3 linked regions of the Caenorhabditis elegans genome follow. The protein of the gene in region 1 purifies or fractionates together with the protein of each later gene. This does not show direct contact. Each region holds a gene or a part of one and is shown on either strand. Other genes may lie near its edges.

What was found.
Region 2: the proteins of alg-1 (region 1) and dcr-1 purify together in Caenorhabditis elegans (affinity purification with western blotting; 6 studies listed by BioGRID, with this or other methods). This does not show direct contact.
Region 3: the proteins of alg-1 (region 1) and ain-1 purify together in Caenorhabditis elegans (affinity purification with western blotting; 8 studies listed by BioGRID, with this or other methods). This does not show direct contact.

Annotation. Positions count from the first base shown.
Region 1 is NC_003284.9:13,947,934-13,955,236, reverse strand, and holds alg-1 (Protein argonaute-1), read right to left. Parts: upstream 5,749-7,303; coding exon 5,715-5,748; intron 3,976-5,714; coding exon 3,737-3,975; intron 3,635-3,736; coding exon 3,462-3,634; intron 3,316-3,461; coding exon 3,145-3,315; intron 3,092-3,144; coding exon 1,629-3,091; intron 1,574-1,628; coding exon 621-1,573; intron 569-620; coding exon 530-568; downstream 1-529.
Region 2 is NC_003281.10:8,077,267-8,081,932, forward strand, and holds the start of dcr-1 (Death-promoting deoxyribonuclease), read right to left. Parts: upstream 3,016-4,666; 5' UTR 3,009-3,015; coding exon 2,958-3,008; intron 2,913-2,957; coding exon 2,750-2,912; intron 2,656-2,749; coding exon 2,522-2,655; intron 2,477-2,521; coding exon 2,317-2,476; intron 2,252-2,316; coding exon 2,112-2,251; intron 2,060-2,111; coding exon 1,688-2,059; intron 1,256-1,687; coding exon 1,073-1,255; intron 1,029-1,072; coding exon 900-1,028; intron 856-899; coding exon 613-855; intron 567-612; coding exon 412-566; intron 344-411; coding exon 1-343. Other genes in the region: apc-2 (Anaphase-promoting complex subunit 2), read left to right, coding at 3,386-3,438, 3,482-3,611, 3,746-3,878, 3,924-4,050, 4,094-4,337, 4,383-4,530, 4,580-4,666. UniProt on the Caenorhabditis elegans protein: Component of the ERI/DICER complex which is involved in processing amplified double-stranded RNA (dsRNA) intermediates during small-RNA-mediated gene-silencing or RNA interference (RNAi). Involved in cleaving dsRNA in the RNAi pathway.
Region 3 is NC_003284.9:16,611,500-16,618,190, forward strand, and holds ain-1 (ALG-1 INteracting protein), read left to right. Parts: upstream 1-1,951; 5' UTR 1,952-1,993; coding exon 1,994-2,174; intron 2,175-2,217; coding exon 2,218-2,370; intron 2,371-2,427; coding exon 2,428-3,246; intron 3,247-3,371; coding exon 3,372-3,463; intron 3,464-3,507; coding exon 3,508-4,023; intron 4,024-4,372; exon of another isoform or gene 4,373-4,521; intron 4,522-4,583; coding exon 4,584-4,748; 3' UTR 4,749-6,176; downstream 6,177-6,691.

The sequences.
Region 1 (7,303 bases):
CCGTAAGTTGAAGAAAGAAGCATTTCAAGATGATTGCTCAGCGAGAAGATGTGAGTGTGAAGAGAGGAGTCGTAGTGCTCGGTGCTCTCGGAGGTTACAAGGTGGAAAGACGACAGCAGTGCATTTGGACAATGTAATCAACTGCGAGGAAAAATATTAAGGATATTAAATGGGTTTTGAAGCTTTGTAGGCTACCAGGATGAGAGGAAAAGTCACTAAGTAAAGGCATTTTGGTTGTGGGAAGTGAAAAATGGATGGAAGAAAGAAAACAGTTACACGAGAGGTAGCGGCAATTAGAATTACAAATTAAATATGGAATTTGAAAACATAAGAGTCCGATTATAGAAAAACATTATAACATTGTAGCATATTGAAATCAATTTGAATGGAGATACAGATACAGATAAAGACACAGAATTATCAAGATAGATATTAGGTAGACATGACAATATTCAATACTCGTCTTCTGTTAGAGCAAGTTGGTGAGTAATAGCTATCTATGAAGTCGATTCCTAGGCAGATTCCTAGTTTAAGCAAAGTACATGACGTTGTTGGCATCCGGATGAACCTAAAGTGTTTAATTTTTTTCAAATAGAAACTAAATTAAATGCCAATATTACCTGCACAGCTCTAGCCATGTTCGACAAGGTGGTATCCTCGGAAGTTCCAGATGGCTGAGAACCTTCTCCAGAGTCATGCTCGCGATCGACAAGATGATAACGAGCGCGGAACGCTACCAAATGAGCATAATATGCTGGCGCTGGAATTGAAACGGATCGTGTGCATCTGACGTAGGTATGGCACATTTGATATGTGAGCTGTTGAAGTTCGTCGGCTGTCAGATTGTTGTCATCCCAAAGAACATGGTAATGGGATGGACGAGATGTTCCTTGAATACCAGCATGAGAGCACAAGTAGAAGTCAAACTCGGTTGGGTGGGTAATTCCTACATCGACAGTAGTTCCTGGCGGAATATTGTATGCTTTTCCGACTTGATCCTTCTTATCAACAGCAAAGAGACGAGTGTGATGTCTCTTTTGGACGGCGATGAAAGTGATTCCTGGTTGATATCCTCTTTCAAGCATCATGCAAGCCTCGCGAATCGCGCGAAGCTCATATTGAAGAACGTTGAAGAATTGCCCCTCAGAAACTCCATCACGGTAGACAACGATTCTGGCTGGCTTGAAGCGAGTGTTGCGGTAGAATTGAACAAGAAGCTCGCGGACCATGTAGGTTAAATCTGAGATGATCTCTTGACGATGTTGTTGGACACGGACGGTTGCAGCATATCTGCTAGGATGAGCATCCATTGAGCCGACAACTGCTGCGATGGATGGTTTGCGAGAGTCTCCTGCTGGTGGATGAGTGATGTCACATCCAAAGAAAATGACTGGTTCGTTGAAGATTCTTGGGCGTACGTTTGGAAGCAGAATACTGTTGACTCCTCCAAGCTTTACGTTCATCTTCAAGCATAAATTAGAAAGAGTTTGTGGAGTTGTTCGGATTGCGTTCTTGGCTTGCACGCACTGGGTGGCGATACCCAAAACTGTGTCTCCAACACGTTTAACTTCAGCTGAAAAATTAGAAAATAAATAATCAGAAATAAACAAAAAAAACAAATTACATACCATAAACTGGAGTTTTTCCAGGGAGAACAACCACTACAAGTTGAATTCCAGAGTAGTTTTGTTTCAAGTACTTGAACATTGGCTCAACCTGCTCGACTCCAACAGCGTACTTGCAGAAGCATGGATTTCCGACGATTGGCATACCAGCGTCGTTGGAAATCCGCTGAAGCTGGTTGGTGAACATGCGGAGATCGTTCTCCTTGACATGCTGTTGTTGAGCAAAACAAGCGATCGCCCAGACACGAACATCGATTCCAGTGTGGAACTGTTTTCCACGCATATCCCAAACTCCTTGATTCGGGAGAGCGGTGGCTCGAGTGCGTCCACCGTAGAGAAGTTTTGGAGCAGAAAGAACGCGTCCCTTGACTTCAGTCATTGCTGGGTTGATGGTGATTCCGAATTCGTGAGCAAATGGATCAGCTGAGAACTCGGCCTTGCGGACCAAGTTGGAAATCTCACGCTCACGTTCTGGAGCAGAACGAGCTGTAGCCTTAATCATTGTCGATGTCTGCACATCCGTAAGCTTCTTGATGCAACGTTGTCCTGGAACAATGTTGCACACCTCTGGTGGCAGGTAGGTGTGCTTTTGTTCCTGTCCAACTTGGAGGCATGGCAAGTGTGGGTATTTGAGTTGAATTCTGTACTTGTCATAGAAATACTTGGCGACAGTGCACTCAATAGTTTGACCAGTCTCCAATTGAAGTGGGAAAGTTTGAGTTTGAGCTGGACGACGAGTGACGTTGCAGACACGATACTTTCTGCGCATTTGTCCACAGTGGGTGATTTCAATTTTGAGACCACGAATTTCCTTGGTGAACTTGACACGTTGAGCATCAGATAGAGCACGACGCTCAGCAAGAGCTTGAACTGGAAGCTCCAAAACTTCGGCGATGAACTCAATGACTGGCATGGAACGATAGAAAGCAGTCGCAGAGACATCAATGTTAAGCATCATTTTCCACTGAGATGGGCGAACCGACTGATGGAATCCAAACCAGACTTCACGGCCACCCCCGAGTTTGCTCTCGGCGTGATATTGTCCAGCGGAGTGGGCACCTCCTGCGACAGCTCCAGAAGCCTGGGGAGGGCATGATCCTGCCATGACTCCAGAAGCATTAGGAACTGGTGGCGAGAAGAATGAACGTCCGACAGGAGTGTATTTCAAGCTTGGAAGATGACGAAGAATGACATCCATAGCTTGAACGGCTTCGAATGGAACCTGGCGAACTCTTCCTTCCATGGCATCCTCCAGAGTGGAGAGAGAAACTTGTCCGACCCATTTCAAAGAAACCGAAAATTGACGCTCAACGGCGGAGTCTCCAGGAAGTGTGACATCGAAATCCATACGTTCTCTTCCAATTGGAAGGGGCTCGCGGGTGTACATATTGCGCTTTCCATCGTAAACAGGGCGAATATTAGTGAAGTACTTGGAGAATGCGCTTATCAAGCAGCTGATAATCTCGCTGAAAATTGATACAATTAATAAGTTAGTTCATTTTGGAATAATAATGATTACCGATTAACTCTTCTTGGGCACTTGTCTGGAGTAACATCGACCTGGTAGTGTTGAATAGTTCCTCCAGGAATTCTCACTGCAAAGTGGTTGGCGCGAAGAAGAATTGAGCGACCCTCAACTCCGTGGTTTGGGCGTCGAGGACATTGGAATTGAATACCACTCTGGTTGCCGCTGAAAACATTTACATTTAAAAATTCCACATTTTTTCGAAAATCCCTTTTTTGAAATCAAAAATTAATGATTGCCAGTTATTGCTTCTCACGGGGGTTTTTTTTTTGATTATACCGTATTAGTTCATAACATTTCAAATTTCTTACCCAGGTAATTGTCCCGGTGCTCCGCCTGGTAAACCGCCTCCAAGTGTATTTGCTGGTTCTCCAATTGAGACACTTGTATTACCAATGGGAACTCCTGGAGCCAGGCTTCCGGCTTGTCTTTGAGGAACATCGCTAAATGTTTGTGGCTGAGTAGGCGGAGAATTAAATATTTCCTGAAATACAATGTGTAAGTTCAAAGATTTAAAAATTATTACAAACTAATAACAAGATAATATCAGATGTGTACACTGCGTTTTTAAACGATGAAAACTTACTTCTAGATCATTTTGGAGCGCTGTTGACGCAGCCGCTTGTGCCGACGGGAAAGGCGGCTGCTGGGTGGCTCCAGATGTTGGAACAACTTGCGAGGAGGTGGACGTCGAACTAATCGGTCCACTTGGCAGAAACGACGATGTTGCGCTCTGTGGTTGCTGTTGAATGGTAGAATTCATGACTCCTGGCAAATATTGCGGCCCGCCGGACATTGGGTCGTTTGAGGCGACGTTAGACGACTCTGAAATGAATGTATTGTGAAATGATTGTTCAGGTTTTTTTATAGATCGTCATGCATTTTTGGAAAAAAATTCTACAAATGCAGACAAACCCAAAACTTAAAAAAGAGAAAATCGATATATAGATTGGAAACCGACAGGTTGTTCGTGTGAGGTACGGGGTGGAGGAAAAGAGAAAGAGAAAAGTAAAACAGTGTCGGGCAGCGACGTCAAAGGAGGACGCAACGGCGACTGGACGACGAGGACACGACGAATCGGAAATCGGACTGCTGCGCAAGCGGGCGCTGACAGAATGCATTCCGAAAGATCAAGAGACGCAGACATTCGGTGGCCAGTACTATACGCTATTGTACACTAACAAGAGACTATGCGAAATCAGGAGACGGCAGAGATAGTGTGTCGCGAGAGAGGCGAGTGGAACAAGCAAAATGAGAGAGAGTTGGAAACTACCAAATACAGGGGGAAGCAGGCTGCCGGGAGCGGGTTGGATCGACTCACAAAACAAAGAAAAAGATGGTCTGTGGAGAGAAAGGGAGAGAAACGCGCGGAGTGCTGAGAGCCGATGCGATTAAACATATCGATGTGGGTCAGTTGTCCGATCGGGTGGAATAGATTTGCGATTAGAAGGAAACGCAGAGAGATAGACAACGGACTTTTCGTATGGAAATAGTATGAGTTGAAAAGTGACATAAACTCTAAACAGAAGGGCTTCCAAACAAAAGTGAAATTTGAGAGGCAAAAAGAGAAGGTGTTGGTTGTAAAAATCACCACATCTGGTTGCATACTGTCGTGAATGTGAATGTGGATTTTTAGAATTTTTAGAATTGTTTTTGGCACAATTTTGAGAATTGCAAAAAAAACTAAATGCGCAAAATTGGTAGTAGTAGTTAATTCATCCATTCATTCTGAAAGGATTCCTACATAAATATTAGAAAAATATAACAATTATAGTAAAATTGGAGAAGCACCATAAGGTTGTTCAAAATCACTTATTTAATCACTAAATATTATAGAAAACAATTTCCAAAAAGTTGCTTATTTGTTGCCAGGAGGGTCAACAGAAAGTTTTCACTTCTCATAATTTGAAAGTCTATTGAAAATTATTTCATACAAGTTCTATGCCAAGTGAAATTTCTACAGACTAATCAGAACTTTGACAAAAAAGTTTTATTTATTATCTCAGAAATGTTGAAACTTGGATATTTTTCGATTTTCAATCTCAATTTTTAAAATTTTAAACTTGATTTTAAACACTATTTTCAGTATATTTATCAACGTTCTCACAGACAGTTTTTCGCATTTCAAAAACACTCATAATTATTTTCAAGACCTTTATCAAGTCTCTGTGGTGTCGAAAATCTTGAAGAAATATACATATTTTTCTCAATATCAAAAATTACACTTGGCATTTCTTTCTCAATTTTTAATGCAAATTAACATTATTTCCATTATTGAAGAACACATACAGGATTGTCCCAAAAGTGAACAAATGAATATTTTAAATTATACACATGTGTGAATACAAATATTTTCTAATGGCAAAGTCTCATGAAATGTTTGATGTTAAAGTCAGGGAATTATGTTGCCGGACACCTTTTCAGATTGAATATTAATCTCCCGGAAAGTGCAATTAGATTTGGTGGAAAAATGGAAGAGGAAAAATTGTTAGAAATAAATCTTATGATAACTTCTTTAGTACAGATGTTTATGTTAAGAATAAGTAATAATAAAATAAGCTTACCATTTGTGTTGGTGTTGTTCAGTTCGGCAGCCATGAGAGGGATTGAAAGCGCTGGGTTGGGTCAGTGAGATGGGAAGAGTAGCGGTAGAAGCTTCTGGTTCCTTTAGTTATTGTATCCTTTTAAAGCAATAATAAGGGTAAGGAAGAGGTAGAAGGAGGTAGAAGGACGTCGGTGTTGTCAGTCGGTTACAGATTCGTCTCTTCGAGTTGGCAGGGGTAGTGGAGAAGAAAGAGTTGAACAAATAGTAGTAGAAGAGGAGAAAGTTGATTTTGGCCCGATTGCTGATGATGATTTTCTCAGTGATTGCTATTGGTTAGATTCCTGAATGATGTTAAACTCGTCGTCAGCTACACCGTCTGAAGTGCATATGCCACGAGTGGAGTTGAGAGACTTTCTTGAGGTTTCTCTGAAAATTATTGATGTTTCGGGAAGAAAGAGGGGGAAGGTGAACGAGGGAATGGAGAAGGAAAAAGGAAAAAGCAAAATAGAACAGAAACTGAAAAACAAAATTCGGAATGAACACGATCAAAAAATGAATTCAATGCGAAGGAAGTGTTGCTGGGAAGTTAGCCGTAATTTTCAAATTTATCACCAATTTGTGAAAACACATCAGAAAAAATTGGTGTCTTACTCAAAATTAAAATAAAAACTTTAGAATATTGAAAACTTTGTATGGTATGTGAGCCCAATGTTTTGAATAACTACAAACTGTTTAAAAATGGTCATTTTTAAAATCTTCGAAGCATATTTAATAACAAATCAAACTATCAGCTATGTATTTGAAAAATTTTTCAACTTGTATGAATAGTTTAAGGAAGCTAATACATTTCTGTTTGAAAAATAGCATTTTCAAGATTAATTCAAAATAACGACTTCCGCAAATTCGAAAGATCTTTCAATAAAGAATAAAGTGCATCTGTGAACTTCCTGATCTAGACGAAACACTAAATCCTCTCAAGCACTAAAACTGAAAATGAGAAACGATAATGGTCGGGATAATCTCTTTCCATCAGCTAATCTATGAATACTGAAAAGTACAAGACGGTTCTAGGCCGCACACGCCATTGAAAGCCAACGAAAACCACGGCAGATGGTGGTTAGTAAAAGGGAAAGAAAGAGGAAGAGTGGCAGAAGGACCTATTGGAACTGGACGAGGCTGCCCTGGCATTAGACCAGCGAAAATGTGTAATGGTCCAAGAGACACAGAGAAGCGGGGGGAGAGAGATGCTTTGAGCAGTATAGTGCATTTTATGAGCGGCCTCCCGTCTGTCCCGTCAAGGGTTAAGGTTCATGTTTATGGGTAGTGCCGTGCCTGACACCGAACATGAACAGTTTTGGAATGGACTTAGAAACGATGACAATGAAAATTAAAAAGTTTAACAGACCCAACAATTTAAAAACCAAGTTTCGTTAAAAGATACCCAAGGGGGTGGTTTTTCTTCCGTAAATAATTTGATAATTTTTACAAAAGTGGAAAGTATATTTGCACTAATCAAAAAATTTTAAGCATGAATGAAAGTTTTATGAAATTTGGGTAATATTTTTTGATGAGGAAACAGTTATAAAAGTGCATATTATGTACAGTATG
Region 2 (4,666 bases), on another chromosome or scaffold:
TTTTGATGATCCAACTTTAGCAGCAATTCCAGGTGCATACTCATCCGGCTCCTCATCAATATGTTCTAATAATTTGGCAATCGACTCTCTTCCTTTTGGAAGTAAATTATCATCGAGTTCTCCTTCTAAATGTAATTGTCGACATGCTTCAAGTGCAACTGCCATCTGTGCAGTCTTCTTATTTGGCATTGGATTTTTGAGCACAATTGCATGTTTGATCGGTGAGTTAATTGGAAGAAGAAGCTCTGCACAGTATTTGGTCACTCCATTCTCTTCAATTGGAATGATTTGATTGTGTGGAACAAGACGAGTGAAGATATCGGAAGGAAGCTTCGAACAATATCTGGAAGATTACCAATTGTTTGTATTTAGCTGTTGGATTAAACTTCTAAAGTGAAATTATTAATATACCTATTAATTAATGCGATAGCAGTTGACATTTTCAATGTTGCACCAGTTTTTTCAACAACATATGGTTCCATTTGAGAATCAACATCAAATTCTTCAAATCTATCCGAATCATCTTCAATAGGATTGTTGACTGTACGATGGCGGCTAAGAAGAATCTTAATATCATTTTTTAAACAATTGAACTGAAGATTCCAATATTACTTTTTCTATTTGCTGGAAATCTTTCAAATCACTATCACACGCCGCAGTATCTTTCTCCTCAACAGTGATAACATATCTTGATCCAGCTCGCCGAGCTCTTCCCTTTGACTGAACGTATGATCTCATGTCAAGTGGTCGATCAAATTTAATCACAAGATTACATTGTTTAACATCTACACCTTCTTCAAGCACTGATGTAGCGATAAGACAATTGATTTCATTTCGATGGAAACGGCGAAGAACCTAAAAATTATATTTAGACAATGATAATTTAAACATAAATTTACTTCAGTTTGTCGTTTATGTAATCCTTGACTATCCGAACTCGCCAAATTTCGTCCGCTGGCTCCAACGACGTAATCCGGGTTCACAAACTTGAACTTAGGCTCCCATGATTTAATATGACGCATCATAAGCTGAAAATTTACAATATATTACCGTAACATTCATATAAACCTACAAGTAACGAATATGCAATGTACCGTTGATCGACAAAAATAATGGCTGATAAATGTTCTGCTTTTTCTAACTTCATTCGTTCTTTTTGAAATTCGGGGTTGAAAGTTTCTAGGATTTCGAAAAGACGTATGACACGTTGAGGAACATATGGACGGAGAGCTTCAATACTTTTGATTTTCTTCATCTAAATTGGAAAAAATTGGTGTAATTAATAGTTGATTGCTTACACTGGAAGTTGGAAAATGCTAACTTGGAGTTCAATATAGAATAGTAATTTTAGATTAAAAGTGTTATTGAGGATCATTCCAAAAATTCAGCTGCGTCCGAGCAGTTTCACCCCTTTTGAAAAAACTTTCAACTTAAAAAAAGTGTTTCCAAATATTCGTAAATTGTTTTTAAAAAACATATAGCATTCAAGCTTCAGCCCATAATTCTCAAAAAGCCATGAATTGAGCTACAATCTTACAATTTGAAATCTTGCTCAAGATTTGTAGCTCTCTTGGTGAGTAGGGAGTTACGAACTTTTTCGAATGATAACACTTTTTTGTCGAAAAATTGCTATACCATAACGATACTTCGAGGTACCATTTTCCAACGTCTCTTGTTAGGTACGCACCTCCGGTTCCAACAATCTTTTAATCGTAATCATAGATGTTTTTGCCATATTCAAAAACCGCAACGTCTTATCCGGTAGCACTTGAGATTTTATAATTTTTCCCAACTCTTTCTCCCAAACTTGAGCCGTTCGCCATGCCGCCCAAGGTCCCAGTTGACGAAAAACAGCTCGCGTCGTCTTGAGAGAATCTTTAATCGGTCTACGAGGATCCAAATCTAGATCTGGATGAAATTCTGTTGTGGTGTTCACAAAGGCTACAGTTTCATCAAATATTTCTATAACTGTGTCGAAATTCGGAATACCCAGGCACCCAATTTCAAAGTCTTTGCAGATGATCACAACTTCATAGGGTTTCGCACCGTATTTCGAGAGCTAAATTAGTTTTATTGGAAACAAGTCTTTGTTTGTCTTTTTTAAATCATACCGAGACTAAATCACTAGCTGTCTCTATAACACTGTCCATCGCAGATTCCAACTTTTTTAACTGTTCCATTAGTTTTTCCGGCGCAACTTTCGCTTTGATAAGACTGGCTGTGAGTCCTAATACACGTGGGACGGGTTTGTCTGAAAAAATATTTCCGTATTTTGAAGCGAATTCGAAGTTTCACCATTAATTCCTCAATACTTACCCTTTTTCAATAACTTATAATCGACCATGATGCTTCTGTATGGATGTTGAGAACCGAGAGCATGATGACATTCGTCAAAGATCAGAACACACATGTCTTCAATTTTCAAGTACGCATGTCGAATCAAATCAAGAAGGCATTGAGCTGTGATCACAACAACCTGAAATATATATGCTCGATAGTTCAGCTTCGTATTCTCACTCACATGGTGCCTCTTCATGAACTGATCACATTGTTCTTTGCTGTCCCATAAACCACTACTTGTCTGTCCGTGGACCTGACCAACTTTGAAACTTGTGTGAACTTCGATGTGGATAGCTTGTTGTTCAACGAGGTTTACTGGAAAAAATGATGTTTTAGAATAAATCTTGTTTTTTTTTGTCAATTATTCACTTTACTGGCCAGCTGGCTTATTTTTAATAGACGAAATTACCTTTCTCTACAACAAAAAACGCTCGTTTTCCACCCTGATCCAATGGTGCAAACAATTGAACTCCATATTCTTTCAGCAGTAGAACTGCAATGAAAGTTTTTCCTGAACCAGTGCCTAGTTGGACGATTGTGTTCTTTTTTGTCGCTTTATCCAAAAGTTCCACCTGAAAATCGATTATTTTTAATTTATTTTGCTACTTAAAAATTACCTGGTAGTCCCTGGGGTTAAAACATTGTAAATCAGCTCTTACCCTGACCATTATTGGTCTGAAAACAGGGAAAATTGATAATGTTCAAAAATTACAATAAAAAATAATTGCCGCTGACTGCCCCGTAGTATGCGCTCTACTGAACCAATGTCTATGTCTCTTTCATGGGAACATTCAAAAGACGGAGGAAAAGTGGAATCGACAGAAATTTGAAAGAAAATACTCTGAAAAATCGTGTGAAAAAAAAGAAACAAACATTTTTTCGTATAATTTTTAAAGGAACATTTATTCGCGGTTTTTGTGGAAATGTAGTTTCCGAGACCCCAACCTTCGTTTTAAGCATGATCCTTTAATATATACAGTTTCTCACACATTTGTCATCGTTCTCTTCTCGTATCCTTGCTGAAATTATTTTAACCATTTCGAAAATGTCCATTTTTGACAGAATGACTACTTCGAAAGAGGCTGCGATGAAGTACAGGTATGGAATTTTTGAAAATGAGTTCCGTAAAGACAGTTTTCAGACAATTTTGCGTCTCAAAGAAAAAAGAAGTCTGGGATGCTCTGATATATCACGCAAAATACGCAAAAAATATTGAAAAAGTTTATGATATGACGACAGTTCTGCAACGAGTACAGCAAGAATGCCTGATGGTGAGTTTTAAAATTTTTAAATCCAATCAAGAACAAATTAGCCTTATTCTCAATTAAATGCTCTGAAAAATCTTCTCCTTATGGAAAACGGTCAGAAAATAGAGGTGTAACAAGCTAATGGAAAATAATTTCAGTTTGCATTGGAAAAAGGCGTTGGTCAACCGGATATTCGCGATGCTGCAGAGCTCATCTTCCCACTGGCCATGCAGAAAGTTGTTATCAAAGTTCTCAGACCTTATTTTATGTCGCACTTCACTAATTACAGACGTATTTTTTTTTCATTCAGCCCCAGTTTCCAATAACATTTTTCAGTTGCCATGTACCTTCCTCATCGAAAAATCGATCATGGAATCGATTTAAACCAAGAGCTGTGGACACCAGAAAAAAAAGAAATATGCGGGCAATATGTTCAAGATTTTAATCCTTTTGTCAATGAATTGTGGGTAAAGCCTGACTTCCTAAATTATATATAACATTTTCAGAAAAACTGGAATTCTCAATGCAAATCGTCACATGAACGCAGCACTTTCAGTGTATATTCGCGAGCTTGCTGCAACATTGGTGATGCACGAGAAAGCGGCTTTTGACAATGAGCTGAGATGTTCAATGTTTCAAGAAATTATGGAGAGTCTGAGGATTTGGTCAGATCAAGTAACAATGCAAGACGCATTCCATTTAATTAGTGACACTATTTACAAAGATGTCTTCCAAATGCTTTCCAAAAACGTGAGTTTTTAAAAAAATTTGGAACCTAAAAAATATTTTTTGTAGGCATATGAAATGATCGCCGTAGATTTTCCAGTAAAATTTCGCAGTCTCATCACAATGAAATATTGCCTTTTGAGAACTAATAATCATGGGAGAGTCGATTTCACAAATTACTTGATAGATCAAGTTAACACAAAACTTCTTGTTGCATGTAAGTTGGTGAGGGGAATTATTTAAAACTTAAATATTTAAAATTTCAGCGGTTGATACAAAAGACATTTTGAAAGCTTATGCGGCGTGCGTAGAATCTCTTCGTGAAATGGACAATAGTTGCGTGGTTATGCATA
Region 3 (6,691 bases), 2.7 Mb from region 1:
AACGCGTACTATCTCGACGACCCATCTGTCCAATTGCTACACGCATTCGCGATCTTGTTCCGCGCTGGACCACACTACCAACACTTCCCGCTTGACCCTTTCTCTCTCCCGGAGCCTAATAACACCTGCTTTTTCTACTGGTCGTTTTTTCTTTTATTAATTGCCTCTTTTCTCTCAGCGTGTTTGTTTTTTGTCTTCTATTTTCAATTTTGAAAAAGAAAAACATTTTTCTCGTTATTCAAAAGTTTCTCTTCATGTTTTCTTCTCCGTGTGAAAAACAGTATAGATTTCTCATTCCCAATTCTCTTCCACCTCACCGGGTCACGTGAACTTGATGCGAAGGAAAACAAACCCTCAACTGTCTAGCACTCACAGTTTCTGGTTCCCGAGCGGTGGCGGCACACAAGGTCGAAAAAATTCAGTCACCAAAAATTGATAGCCTCGGCTGTTTTGGCGTGTCAAATTAATGAACACTGTCTTAAGAATTTCAACATAATGTTTCATCTTTTTCCTTTTTAGATTTATCATCTCCTGTTTGAATTTAAATATTTCACAAAGTACAAAAAGTTACGATATAGCCAACTTTTCATAACAGAGAAAAACCACTGTAATGTCAAATTTTCAGAAAATTGGTGAATTTCTGTTAAATATCCTTAGTATCCTCAATTAACAAGTTCCTAATCAATTTCTCTCCGAATCTATTTCCAACCAAAAAGTGTTTCAAGTTTGGCATGTCGCCCGTCCCGCTGTTCATCCCGTCCATCTTCGCTCGTGTGTCCCGTCCATCCCACATATCGAAAATATATTGGTAGTGTGTGTATGTGTGTGTGTGTGTAGAACTGGCCACACAGACGTATATACTGTTAGATACGGGGAGAACCACCAGAGATGAAGAGAAATGGTGGTGAGTGGTCGAGCGCACGTCGATGAGTGTCTATGAGTGCGGTGGTGAGCGCATGAGCGCGTGAGTGTGCGGCGGTGCGGTTTCTCCGTCTCTACACGACATGAAACCCTCTCAGTTGACCCTACGTTCCTTCTTCTCTCTGCACACACACACACATACACACAGCGGTCTCATTGATTCGTGAAAGAAAAAGAGAGAGCGAGAGTGCGGGAGGGTGGTCTGATGAGTGAAGCGTGAGCGGACAGACTCACGGGGGTTAGTAGTAGTGAAGCGAGGAAAAAGTGGAAAGACGGGGAGTTTCCGCTGCGTCTCTCGCCCGGCAAGCAATTTGATGTTGGCCTCTCACTATGAGATGGAGAGAGACAGACAGGGAGAGAAACGCGCAATGTCGTCGCCGGTCGCCTTCTCGCCCTCGATCGGGGTAGCCAGCAGCAGCAGCAGCAGCAGCAGCAGCAGCCCAGCCAACCAGCCTGCGAAGCACCAGACCCCTCTTCTAACTAGTCTCTCTCCTTCTTCTGCTTTTTCCTTCTCCTTTCTCTCTTTCCTGCTTTTTCCTTAACCCCTTGTCCGCCTAGTTCCCACCTAGCCAGCAGCGCCCCGGGGGCTTTTGGGGCCTTTCTTTACAACAGTAGTTATGTAGGTTGTACAAAACTTATTAAATTTTTTAATGTTTACCTTTTTACAGGAGAACGCTTTTTACACTGAACTTGTTTCTATCTAGCAGTATTGCATTAATTAATAGTTTATGCTTTCTAACTTTGACAATGATCTTGTAAAACATAATTTTGCTCAATACTGTTTGAATGGCTTTAGATCATTTTTTATAAAATTTCTATTAAGCTGATACTCCTGGTCCGTAAAATTTTCAATTGCCTTCATGAAATCCTGCTCGTTACGCGGCTAATGTTGTTCGACCAATGTACCCATGTCGAAATCAAATAGTGTTATCAATCAGTCTATCAGTTTCTTTGTTTTCTCTTGTCATCTATCATTTACCATCACGCTCTCGCCAAAACTCATCAATCAATAATATTCCATTTTTTACAGATAAGCTCAAACTCTGATCGCCAGAGCGCGATCAACGCAACCATGGAGAGTCTCGCAAAAAACTTCAACAACATTTCAATAGACGACGCAGCGTGGCATCCTAACGACCAACAGCCTGTATGGGGAAACAACGGTCTCCAGCAGCAACGTGTCTGGGCTCCGCCGGTACCGCAGCCACAGTTCCCAAACAGATCGCCATGGCAACAGGAATCGAACGATATCGGTAATTGGCAATTGTAATCTTGATGACGTAAAAATTGTTTCAGAGCCAAATGTCAACGAAGCCCTTGTTGGACTCAGTGGCACAGGCTCATCAAGTCAAAGCCAATGGGGTGGCATTCAGAATACAGATTATGAGAAACAGATATGGGGTGATCCACCATTGAGCGATGTGCAGTATCCACTTCAACCACATGCCTGTAAGTTCAAATTTGATTAGACGTTATATTTATAAATTTAAATCTATAAATTTTCAGCGTTCGGTGAATTGAATAGTCTTGGAGGTCAATCTGCGCCTTGGTCCATAGGGTCTCAGCCAGCGCACCCGGTTTGGAGTAACGGAGGAATGGGAAAAGAATCTGATGACTTTTGGAAACAGCAACAGCCTCAACAGCATCAGCAATACCCGATGCCATTGCTGCAGGGAGCCTGGAATACAGGCATGAGACATGGACCACCAGGACAAGGACAACGTAGTGGGCCAATGATGCAGCAGCAGCAAGACTACCAAGGGGGATGGGGTGGCCCGAATAACATGGGTGGCAACAAGCAGATGAACCGTCCATGGGGGCAGGACAGCAATCGTGGAATGTCAGGCATGCCGCCCCGAAACGGTCGTCCAAACCACAACCAGGGACGGTACTCTGGCAATATGGGTGGCGGTGTTGACGTTTCAGTTCCACCACCGATGGATATGCACATGGGAGGTGGTATGGGTGGAATGAGAAATATGGGTGTTGCTCCGAATAGTGGACACGGATCATGGAAGAATAACAATGCTGGTGGAGGTCAAGGAGGCCACGGCGGTCAAAGAAACTACAACAACCGTGGTGGAATGGGACACAGTGGAAGCCAGAGTGGCGGAGGATCCAATATGTGGAACAGCACCGGAAACAATGGAAGTGGTGGAAGCATGCAGCAGTTCATGGGAGGAGACCAGCAGTACAACAATCCATTCCCAATCGGCGGAGCTGCTGATGATCTCACACTGACTGTTTGGCATGATCCAAACGGAGAACTCAAGAAATGGCAGAGAGATACTGGAGTGTCCTATTGGGGAGACCCGGAGAAGCAAAGTGAGTTTTTTAAAAAAATATTTCCTTGGTGGGAATTGAATGAAATTCTCCATTGTTTCATGAAAAACTGAAATTAGTCTAAATGTGTTGCTATAGAAATCACCTATTATCGACTATTTTTGCAGCTGACCGTACCATTAGCTTGTGGATTGTTGGCGAAGGTGCCGATGAGGATTTGGAAACTGCATTGAACCGATGTCCAGTACCACAGAAAAAGGTAATATTGTTGTCTTAGGTATTAAATTGAACTTCATGTCTCAGGGAGAGGACAATCAACGTTTCCCATTCCCAGTACCAGCGAAACGGCCAATTGTTGTGACCGGATGGGGAGAGCTTCCAGAAAATGATCCAAACAATCCGTCCAAGAGCGAGTCGACGATATTCGACGAGAACAACAGATGGAACGACTTGACAACTGAGCAAAATCCATGGTATCTTCCGAATCAGCACACTTCAACATTCTCCAGTGACAACACCACTGGATCGTGGGTGCAGGGAGGAACAATTCCACTCAATGAGCCCGGAACCAATCAACACGTGGCTGTGGCGGAGATGCTGAAGAACGCTGTCGACAAGGGATACCTGGACCAGAGCGTGACGATGATGGCCAACTTACCGCCAATGGTGCTGCAGTATGTCAATATGCTGCTCGTCAAAATTCCAGCGTTGGATAGTGTGGAGAATGAGCTGAAGCAGATAATTGAGAGTTCTCTGCCAGAAGATGTGAAAGAGGTTGATCCACAGAATCAACAAAAGTACATGAATGATAGTCAAAAGGTGAGGAAGATTGTCGAGTTTTCAGGTTGTTCAGGATAAAATTATGAAAAATTAAAATAGTAGAAGCCAAAATAATTATCATACTACAACCTATTATTATAGGAAACAAATGAAAGCTAGACATTTTGCTAGAAATTTAAAATATCAACCTTACCAGAAAACTAGCTTAGATCCTGCTTAAACCTAGATTTTAAATTGGGCGGCGGGATAGCTCAGTCGGTAGTGGTGGCCGCTAGCAAGCTGGAAGTCATGAGTTCAAGCCCCCTAGGTTTACCCAGCCTCTATTGAGAAGTGGAGCAATCAACGACTGGATTATCGGTCACGGTCCCCGGCTTGAACGTGGCTCAAATAATAGCCCGGTGGGAGCCCCACCAGACAGTGCACTACGGAACTGAATTCCAGATCCGCAGTGCATAACACCTGAAGTACGGATCGTCCTTTAATCCTTTAATATCAAACTTTTGAAAAATATTAGACGCATCGCTAAGGAGCTCAGATTACTTCAGTTCGATTGCTTGCAAAGATGAATAATATGAATACCAAACAAATCAATTTTCCAGCTTGAACACAATCGTCTCATCATCGAAGTGACGACAGCAAAGATTGAAGTTCAAGAATACTCGAAAAAAGTGAACCGTGCGCTGATGGACGCTGGAATTGTGCAACCGCAGGAGCAACGTGCGCCAGCCTCAACGGAGGACTATCACTACTCGTTCTTAGAATAGATTGTATCGCCCACCGATCTTCTCTCCCACACACGAACAATTATCATCATTACTTTTATTTTGTGTTTCGCACTGTAATCTGAATTTTAAGTTTGGAAATTTGAAATTCAAAGTTTCAGCCTTGTCATCATCATTTCCCATTAACTTGTCTCAGTGACCTTTGACATTTTCTTCAATACTTTTTTACTCTCCCCCTTTCTCTTTAATTTCGTGTGTGTGTGTGTCTGTTTCCTTACTTTATTGCCTCCGGATTTCTATTGTAAACGTGGTCTTGTGAATGTTCTCTCTATCTTGTCGTCTCCTTCCTTCTTTACTGCTGATCAGACGGGGAAAATTACACGTTTTTTGTATTTCACCTCTCGTTTTGCCATCTCCAGATAATCAATTTTTCTTGTTTAAGGGGAGGCTCTCGCCTTTCCCCCTCCCACTAAGAATAATTTGGTGGCTGGTGCTTGGTCTCACAGGGATTCCAGGTTTATGTCTGCCAGTTCATACCTTCTCTTCTCTCTCTCTCATAATAGGGGTCTTTGTTCCAACAATTTCCAACCACGCGTAAATCCATCTTACTTTCCCTTTTCCATAACATCCAAACCTCAAAATATAATAAAGTCCATATTAATCAAAATACTGTATTTCTTTTTTTAAATTGTATCCTTTCGAAAATATAATTCAGTTTTTGGGGCTATTTCCACTAAAACTGCACTTTCTGCAGAGCCTCTGCGAGCATTTTCACCCCACTACTCTTAATCCCCCACGTTCACTTTTCAATCAAGCTATTCCCATTTTTAATTTGAATCAAAATTTCTGTGTATGCTTTGCTTCCAAACGTCATTTGTAATCTGGGTCTTTTCTACGTCATTCTTTACAGTTTCAATGTGCTAATGTCTCCCGTCTCTTGTCTCTTTTTGCTCTCACCCTCACTCACTAAGTTCCAACCAAAAATTGTGATGAAATTATCCCTGAAAACTTGTCAAAATTGGTTCAATCAGCTACATGCGCACACTTTGAAAATCATACAAAAATAAATACAAGAAACGCCTTTCTAAACGATACATAAACTCGTCGTCCCGGCAGCATTTCCCTAGAAACCAGGTCAATTCCTAGTACGGCCCTTTTCCGAATTCTCGCTCTCAATTTCAAACAAAATGGTGTTCTCATTTCATTGTCTTCTTCTCCAAACTTACCGGACTTCAAATAAACTCATTATGTGCAGTACAGTTTCACAATTCGGGACCCTCTCTCTTCCAGAAATTTGTCAATTCCCCTCTCTCATTTCTCACTCCGGCTCTCAAAAATCTTGATTAAATCTCGCATGAACATGTAATAATCAAAACTGTTTTCTTATCTCTTACCATACTTTACTTGTAACACCCATGCCGTCCAACATCACCTTTGGTTCTATTCTCGTATAATAAAACGTTGTGAATTAAACTCTGGAATGTTCAATTTTAGGGAGCAGAAATGAAATAGCACTGTTTCTGTATTTATTTTAATATTTATTTCAAGTTTTAGGTTTGAGTGTATGATAGAAACACAATTAATATTTTGTATTCAAAATAGCCAATTTGTTCAGCAACCGCTTTTTGGTATCACCTGTGCAGCCAGAAACCATTTCTCGTAAAATAAAAGCTTGTCAAAAAGATTCTCCCCGGCCGGGAATTGAACCAGGGTCTCGCATGTGACAGACGCGGATACTCACCACTATACTACCGAGGACACATTTTTCAAAGAATTCGGAGGCTTTCAAAATCATTAATGTAAGTTGAAACCAGATTTACTCTGCAATTCTTACTTAAATTGTAGCATTTTGGCCGACTAATAGTATGTAAAATAAATATGAAAAAACAAACATAAAATAATTTGACAGTTGACCTTGTCGCATTAAAACCAAAAGTATACAAAATATAAGCTGCCAATGATGCATGAGCAAATGTATAGCCTGA